2 linked regions of the Oryctolagus cuniculus genome follow. The protein of the gene in region 2 interacts with the protein of the main gene of each other region in a biochemical or structural test. Links are inferred from orthologs where the notes say so. Each region holds a gene or a part of one and is shown on either strand. Other genes may lie near its edges.

Region 1 (4,428 bases), on a different chromosome or scaffold from region 2:
CTCCCCTGCCCGTGTGGGGACCTGGGCCCTCTGTGCCCTGCACCGGACCCTTCATCCCTTCCCGGCTGCTTGCTGCCCTCGGCCTTCATTCGAGCCTGGACAGTGTGCGGAGCTCCCAGAGGAGGGGAGAGGGCGGGGGGGGGGGGGCAGCTGCTCAGCCCCTGGCAGTCGGTGGCTCCAGAAGGTCCTGGCTCCTTGGCCAAGCTCCCTGCAGTCTGGACCAGAATTCCTTCAGGTTACGGAGTGCCTGGGACACGTTCGTCTATTTAATAAAATCACTTGTTATCCCATCACTTCTCGGAGCTTCCATTGCTTCCTGTTTAAAGTGAGGGTCTCAGTGCAGAGCCCCACGCCACCCCACAGTGCTCTGGGGAGAGGTCATGGGCGCAGGCAGGCACGGAGCCCAACCCCGGGGGAAGGCTGGCAAGACAGTGGCCGAGGCGGCTGCCCGGAGGGGCCAGGTGGGCACACGAGCACCCTTAAGTCCCCACTAGGGAGGGGGCCAGAGAAGGTGACCAAGGAAGCCTCTGGAGGGGGCTCCCACCTGCACAGTGCTGTGGCCCTGTGCGGGGTGGGGGTTCAGGCCCAATTCCACCATCCCCAGCCCCTCCCATGAGGCCAGGGGAAGGTCTGTGCTGACCAGCAGTGGCCTGGGGAGATGGATGCAGGTGCGGGGGGAGGGGAGCAGAGGACAAGAGGGAGGGAGTGTGCCAGCCCCCCACCGGGCCACACACCTGCATTTCCCTGCCATGGAGATACACCCCAAGTGCTGCAGGACAGTGTGGCTGTGGCCAGGGCCTCCCTGTCCTCCCCTGTCCCTCTCAGGACAACTACGTGGGCTACAGAAGAGGCAGCCACCCCTGTCCAAACAGGGCCTCCTGGCCTCTGCCTGCCCAGCCAGCCCCACAGAGCCGCCAGGGCCCCTGAACACAGCCCAGGTGTCCCCACCTGTGCCCCGGGAGAGGACGCTGGCCTCCGGAGCAGAGCAGGCAGTGCTGAGGGAGACAGGGGCAGCCGGAGCGGCCCAGTGGGCAGCAGACCTGCAGACCACGGCCAGGGCGGATGCGGCTCATGCTGACAATCAGCCAAAGCACCTGTGCCAGTCAAAGGGACTGGGCTAAGGGGACACTCGGGGCCACCGCAGGGGTCAACGGGGACTCAGCCAGGCCCCATGGGCCCTTCGGCGCGCCTCGGGGTGCGAGAACCGGCGCCCCTGCTGCCCAGCAGCGCCACGGCCCAGGGACGAGCTCCGGACCCCCACCCATGCGAGCAGTCCGGGCCGCATGCGGGACCGCAGCCAGTGGCCCACAGGGGCTGCGAAGCCATGGCCCCGCACACCACAGCGCCATCTCCCGGGGCCACCGCGGCCAAGCGCGGGGGGCGCCGGGCCGGGCGAGCGCGGGGCGGGGCGGACGGCGCGAGGAAGTCCCGGCCCGCGCTTTGGGGAAGTCCGTCGCGCGCCTGCGCACTGCGCCCGCGCCCCCTCCCCGACGCCGGGGCCGGACCTCGGAGCGCGCGGGCGGCGGCGGCGCTGGCGGCTCGGGAGCGCGGCCGGTGAGTGCGCGCGCGGCGCCGGGGACGGCGGCCCTGGCCTCGCGGCCGGCCCGGCGGTGCGCGGCGTGGCCGCCACGGCCTGCGCCGGGACCTGCCCCTCGGGGGCCGCGGTCGCGGGTCCACGTGGACCCCGGGCCGCGGCGGCACTGCAGCCCGCCCCGCGCCTGGGGGAGGGGCGCTGCGGCGGGTTCCCTTTTTGTGAGCTCGGAGCCCGGGGAGAGGTTGCTTAAAGGCGGGGGCCGGAAGGACCCAGGTTTCCGCGGCTCCCGCCCCGCTAGCTTGGCGGGGAGCGGCCGGGGCGGGACTCCCTGTGCGCCCCCGCCCCCACCCCGTCGGGTCGGCCGGCAGCCGCTCCGCGCTGCGAGGCGGACCGGAGGCCCTCGCGGGCCGGGGCTCGGGACGCCGCGGGAGGACCTCCCGCTGCCCGGCCTGGGCGCTGCGGCTGCTGCCGTGCCGTGCACGCCCCTTCGACAGCCAGGGAGGGGCCAGGGCGAACCGGCCCCTCCCGCCCCCACCCCGCCTTTGGGTTGCTGGTGAGTGGGGCCCAGGACGGGCTTCTTGAGATGGGGGTGGGGGCTGCGGAGTCTGCGGGGAGGGGTCCGCACGCCTCCTGCCTGGCCCCGGGGCGGGGACAGGGGAGGGAGGGATTCCAGGGTTGGGGGAGCCTGGCCAGACCGGGGCGCCGCCCCCCAGCCCCTGGCTAGGGCAGCGGGTCGGAGAGGTCCTGGGCGGGAGCAAAAGTTGGAAGGAGTCCCTGCCAGCCCCCTCCCAAAGATTGTGACATTTTTCTGAGATTGTCACATTTTCTTGTTCTTTTTTTGGACTGGGCGGGCTCAGGGCCGTTCTTCTTCCTTGTGTGGAGCAGAGCTGCCGCCGCTCCCGAGGGAGCCCTGTCCCCAGGGGCCGGAGTGGCTCCTGCTCTCCCCTTCCAGGCCCCGGGGGTGGGGAGGAGGGAGCGTGGGTCCAGACCCTACTGCCTGAGAGAGGGGCAGGGCTGGAGGAGGGCCCAGCACCCCCGACAGCCCCAGGCTGGGGTTCCTGCCTGGGGCAAGGGCCCTGGCTGCCGTGCCCCTTCTTTGGAAACGTGACTCCCACAGGGCACTTGGTTCCCCCCAACACACTTGGCTTTGGGACCCTCCTGGGAGAGGAAGCCCAGCAGGTGTCGAGAGGCCTTGGCCCAGGGACTGGAGTCGGTGGCCCGTGGGCCTTGTCCTTTCCTGGGTGCTGAGAGCCAAGGCCAGTGGGGTTGAGGATGCAGAGGCCAGGCTTGGGAGTGAGAAAATTAGAAAATAAAATAGAACCAAGTCCCAAGCCTCCTGGCCACAGACCCTCGGGAGAGGCCTGAGGGCCCTCACCTGGACACAGCTGCGCAGTGAGGGGATGCGCCGGGTTTGTGGCTGGCTTTGGCACCTAGTGCCCCTCCCCACAGAGGTGCATCCCAGAAGTGGAAAGGCACACCCCCACAGGGTCTCCAGGCCGACTGGGGGCGGGGTGGTCTCCCTGGCTGGCCCTGAGGCTGGCGGCCGGCAGTGGCTTCTGAGCCTGCAGGTGCTGGGCCCAGAGGGTGGGGACCTCAGTGTGCCAGTGGGGTGTGAGGGTCAGGGCAGCTGCGGGCCAGAGACGCCCGACCCGGGGCCCAGATCCCTCCTCCAGCTTCCTGTCCTGCCTCAGGCTTCGGGCCTTGCCACAGAGAGGGAAGGAGCAGCTCATGTCACCACCTCCAACGACGCACAGTCCCCTCGGGAGGGGCCCAGAGCCGGAAACCAAGAAAGAGGAACCCAGGCTTCCGGCTCCCAGGCGCTGAGCCGACGGGGGTGTCCCAGAACCTCCTCTGGGGGCCTCCTCTGGGGGCCAGCCTGGGAGGAGGGGCCGGAGGCTGGGGCAGAGGGCAGAGCAGGGAAGGAGGTGTGCTGCAGGCCACTCCCGCAGGACAGCTAGGGTCTGGGGTCACAGGTTCTCGGTCAGAACCTTGGCCCCTCTTCCCAGACCCCCCGGCTGTGGTGAGGGCCTTGGAGCTGGCATCTCGGAGCCTGGGCCGCCTGCTTTACCCACCCATGCCCACCGCGCATGAGGCTGACAAGCAGGTATGCTGCTCCCTGTCTGTCCCGGCCCCCTGGGGAGGGGGTAATGAGGGGTCAAGGTATCCCTGAATACCTGGGGTGGGCAGAAGGCACAAGTCCAGGTTTGGGGGGTTCCACCTTGAGGCTGAGGAAGCCCTGTGTCCCCAGCACGCAGGGCCAGAGGAGGCAGACCGGCCGCCTTCGATGTCCAGCCGTGATGCGGCCCCCACGGCGGCCCCCAGCCGCAACCCCTGCTGCCTGTGCTGGTGCTGCTGCTGCAGCTGCTCCTGGTACGCGCGCCTGGGACCAGGCTGGGCCCGGGCGGGAAGGGAGGTGCAGAGGTCTGGCCACCTGACGTGGCCCTGGCGTCCGTATTCAGGGCCTGGTCCCAGACTTGCCGCAGCGCCAGGGCTGGTCCCTGTGCAGGGCCAGGCCTGCTGCGTGCGCCTTCACCCCTCCCTGGGTGCCTGGTCATCCTGGGGACCTTCAGTGGAGCGAGACGGGCACAGCCCTAGAGTGGGTGGAACAGAGAGACCCCAAGGAGGGAGCAGCTGGCCCTGGGCACGGGGAAGACCTGCCCAGGCAGCAGGGTCAGTGTGTGCATGAGGCCGCAGTGGGGCTCCAGGGGTGACCAGAGTGCAGGGCAGCTGCTGGACATTGTAGTCTTTGCAGAGGTGTCAGGGCCTCGGTTACTGAAGGGACAGGACATGGGGACCTCACGTGTAGTCAGCTGACCCACGAGCAGCCAGGGCCTGACAGTCCAAGCAGGACATGGTGGGTGGTGGGAGGGGTGCAGGGACCCCTGCATCAGCCA
Region 2 (3,803 bases):
ATATGGAATGCCAGTGTCGTAGGAAGTGGCTTAACTCACTGTGCCACAGCGCCAGCCCCTGGTTTTCATCTCTTAAGTTTAATAGAATGGCATTAGTATTGTCAGGGCTGTTGAACTGATTTATGCATAAAGTTGTGTACAACTAAGTTCTGAATACAGGACACAATTGAAAACTGACTTGAGGGTAGATGTTTTTTGTGGTAATGGGATGGCAGATAAACATTGTTTTAGAGTCTAGTACTCTGTTACAAAGAATTATCTCATTAGTGTCTCTTATACAGCTCTGTTTCTCTCTGTTAATGCTCTTTTATAAATATTAGAGCTGTCTTTTTGGTTCCTGTTTTCTGCTTTTGTGACCTTTGAGATTGAGTGATTTTTTTTCCCCCTTCATTCATTATCTGATGTATTTTTTTTTTTTTTTTTTGGACAGGCAGAGTTAGTGAGAGAGAGAGAGAAAGAGACAGAGAGAAAGGTCTTCCTTCCGTTGGTTCACCCCCAAATGGTTGCTATGGCCGGCGCACTGCGCCGATCCGAAGCCAGGAGCCAGGTGCTTCTTCCTGGTCTCCCATGAGGGTGCAGGGCCCAAGCACTTGGGCCATCCTCCACTGCCTTCCCGGGCCACAGCAGAGAACTGGACTGGAAGAGGAGCAACCGGGACAGAACCAGTGCCCCGACCAGGACTAGAATGCTGGGTGCCAGCGCCGCACGCAAAGGATTAGCCTAGTGAGCCGTGGCGCCGGCCTATCTGATATGATTTTAATTGCCTTATGTTTATATGTAGAATGTGATAATCAGCATTATTGCTTGCAAATGTCACTGCTACCTTAGATTTTCAGTTTTCTTTTCTCTGAAAGCAGTTGTTCCACAGGATTTGTCAAGTCCACACAGCATATGTATTACTAGACAACAGTTGAAATCTTAATACACCAAATCAGATTTGAAAAATTGTATAGAAAATAGCATTTCAGCTGAATGTTTTTAGAATCGAATAGCTGCTTATCTTTAGTCCTGATGAATTTACTTAATAAGAACAGCAAAATCATGTGGATTGTTGTCTGTAAAACTGTAAGAATGTACTATCTCTTTGTGTAATATAATGTAGTAATTCATTTATAATTAAATGTTATAACTAGTATTTATTTAGTCTGAGAAAGGTTCTTGTTCATGTTGTCAAAGACTGATCTTTAGGTAATCCTATCTTTTGATATCAGGACCAGTAGCCAGATCTAAATAAAGTGCCACACCCACTTTATTGTTGGCATGTAGATATCTTGTTATGAGGTACTATCACTTCTTCCTTTTCCTCTTCTCTCTAGGCAAAACCACTATCCATTTATTCAAACATTTATTGAGCATCTACCATATGCAAGGCATTGTCTAATTGCTTACTTGCCTCTCAATTATGAGGTAATGTTTATAAAATGTTGATCTATTAGTGAATGATACTGTAAAATGTTAATATGTGCTAAAAGCCCATTTGGGAACTTCACAGTATTCTTACCAGGTTTATGGACTTCATAGAAGAAAATGGGGAAGTAGATTGAAATTAATGGTGTAGTGGTATATTCCCTTTTGAAAGCCTGACATGGTGAAATATTTGGCTTTTAGCCTTTCTAAAGTATACGTGACCCTGCATTAAAGCCCGTTGTAATTGTATCGTTCCCTGAGTCATGACTAATGGTTGAAAAGAGCTGTGCAGGGTTGGTCAAAGGGAGGGTTGGGTCATGAAAGAGATAAGATGAACGTTCCCTTTCCAACATACGTTGGGAAATCACCAACTATGTCTTATTTCTTTCAGTGTCTGTGGGGGAAAGAAAATCTCTGAAAACTTGATCTTAGCCAAAGGCTGAGAAGCGATAGATCTGATATATGAAACTAATTTGGCAGATTTAGTCTTTAGAAGTTTTAAGGTTGTCATCAAACATAGATGTGAAGAATAACTAATCATCTGCATGCAGACCTCATCAGACCCAAGTATCAGCTAAATGACAAAGTGAGGCAGTTGTTCCCTTACTGTGGGAAGTAGATGAGAACACTGTTGACTCACTGTATCAGTAAACCTCCCAGAAAAGAGGAGTGGACTAAGACTAATGTAGAGTGGAACATAAAGTGTGTGAATAATTGAGGCTTTATTATTATTAATTAGGTTCAGGTAAGACTTGGAGTTGGGGAATAATAACTAAGTTTATTTTAGATATTGATTTATTGGATTCCAGCTGTAAATTTTTTTTTCACTAGTGATCTCTAAAATGTTTTTCTTTAAGTAAGGAAAACTTGAAAACATATGGAAAAGTAATGGAAAAAGAATGCAAATTAGGAAATTAGAAGGAAACTGCTCTTAGAGGCAGTGTTGTAGATAAAAGCAGAGGCAAGAGTTGGAGTGCCTAGGTTCAGATCTTCAGTCCCCATTTGTTAGTACACTGCATGCCCTTGGGCAGATTATTTGACATTCTCTGTGCCTCTGCTTCTTCATCTGTAAGATAAAATGCTACAAGGGTAAAATGATGTTCTTAAGGTGTTTAGGGTAGTGTCTGGCACCATGGTAAACACTCAATAAATATTAGTTACTATTATTGCTATCTTATGCTGTTATTCAACTCTTCATTTTTCATGTCTTTTTTTCTTCATTTTCCTTTAAATCATTTTAGTGCTTTATTCTGCTGACTTTTGGCACATACGATACAAGCTTTGAGAGGAGGCTCAACTGTTTAAAATGAGAATTTAGATTATTCCTAAATTTTATTTTCTCAAGTTCTTTTACTTTAGACACAGATAATTATTTTGACTACATTTTATTTGCTCCTTGTTTGTTTTTTCTATTATAAATGAGGTTTTGAATCTGTAAGAATGTGAATTTTCCTAATCATGTCAACTTACATGTGACCTTGCTTAATTTGTGCTTTCTTTCCCTTCACTCAGAATGTTTGATGTAGGTGGCCAAAGATCAGAACGAAAAAAGTGGATTCACTGTTTTGAGGGAGTGACCGCAATTATCTTCTGTGTGGCCCTCAGTGATTATGACCTTGTTCTGGCTGAGGATGAAGAGATGGTATGTTGGGGCTTATGGTGAAAAGCCTAATGAAGCCAGGAAATGGGAAGTAACTTAGGAAGACTAGGTACATTCATTTGCTTGTTGAAACAAAGATTAATACATACTTAATATTTCTGCTTATCAGGGAGATTAGATTTTCAAAATTAATTGATCCATACCTTGTTACTCTTGAAGAGACATTCATGGCTATGATGAGTTTATGGGAATATTAAATCCTTTTTGGGGGGCAATTTTGTGGTGCACTAGGTTAAGCCCTGCCACAGAAATCCCTTGCGAGTGCTGGTTTGAGTCCAGTCTGCTCCACTTCTGATCCAGCTCCATGCTAATGCAGCTGGGAAAGCAGCAGAAGATGACCCAATTTCTTGGGCCCCTGTTACTCACGTGGGAGACCCAGATGAATCTCCTGGCTTTCACCAGGCCCGGGACCAGCTGTTGGGCAATTTGGGGAATGAACCTGTGGATGGATGCAAGTTACTCCACTTTTACTTTCACTACTAATCTGTAATCCTTTGACTCTTTTTCAGAACCGAATGCATGAAAGCATGAAACTGTTTGACAGCATTTGTAACAACAAATGGTTTACAGACACTTCAATCATTCTCTTCCTTAACAAGAAAGATCTTTTTGAGGAAAAAATAAAGAGGAGTCCTTTAACTATCTGTTACCCAGAATACACAGGTAAGGGTCATAGAAGATTGTCCCGGAGGTTCACATCAACACTTTGGTTGATCAGACAGTTGCCTTTTGTTTT

The links.
Region 1: the proteins of GNAI3 (region 2) and RGS19 form a complex in vitro, tested with the Homo sapiens proteins (3 studies listed by BioGRID). The link is inferred for Oryctolagus cuniculus from reciprocal best matches to the Homo sapiens genes GNAI3 and RGS19.

The regions. Positions count from the first base shown.
Region 1 is NC_091442.1:134,427-138,854, forward strand, and holds the start of RGS19 (regulator of G-protein signaling 19), read left to right. Parts: upstream 1-1,412; 5' UTR 1,413-1,554; intron 1,555-1,573; exon of another isoform or gene 1,574-2,087; intron 2,088-3,540; 5' UTR 3,541-3,608; coding exon 3,609-3,638; intron 3,639-3,782; coding exon 3,783-3,904; intron 3,905-4,428. Other genes in the region: protein LKAAEAR1, read left to right, coding at 1-616. UniProt on the Homo sapiens protein: Inhibits signal transduction by increasing the GTPase activity of G protein alpha subunits thereby driving them into their inactive GDP-bound form. Binds to G-alpha subfamily 1 members, with the order G(i)a3 > G(i)a1 > G(o)a >> G(z)a/G(i)a2.
Region 2 is NC_091438.1:60,821,893-60,825,695, reverse strand, and holds part of GNAI3 (guanine nucleotide-binding protein G(i) subunit alpha-3), read left to right. Parts: intron 1-2,919; coding exon 2,920-3,049; intron 3,050-3,576; coding exon 3,577-3,730; intron 3,731-3,803. UniProt on the Homo sapiens protein: Heterotrimeric guanine nucleotide-binding proteins (G proteins) function as transducers downstream of G protein-coupled receptors (GPCRs) in numerous signaling cascades.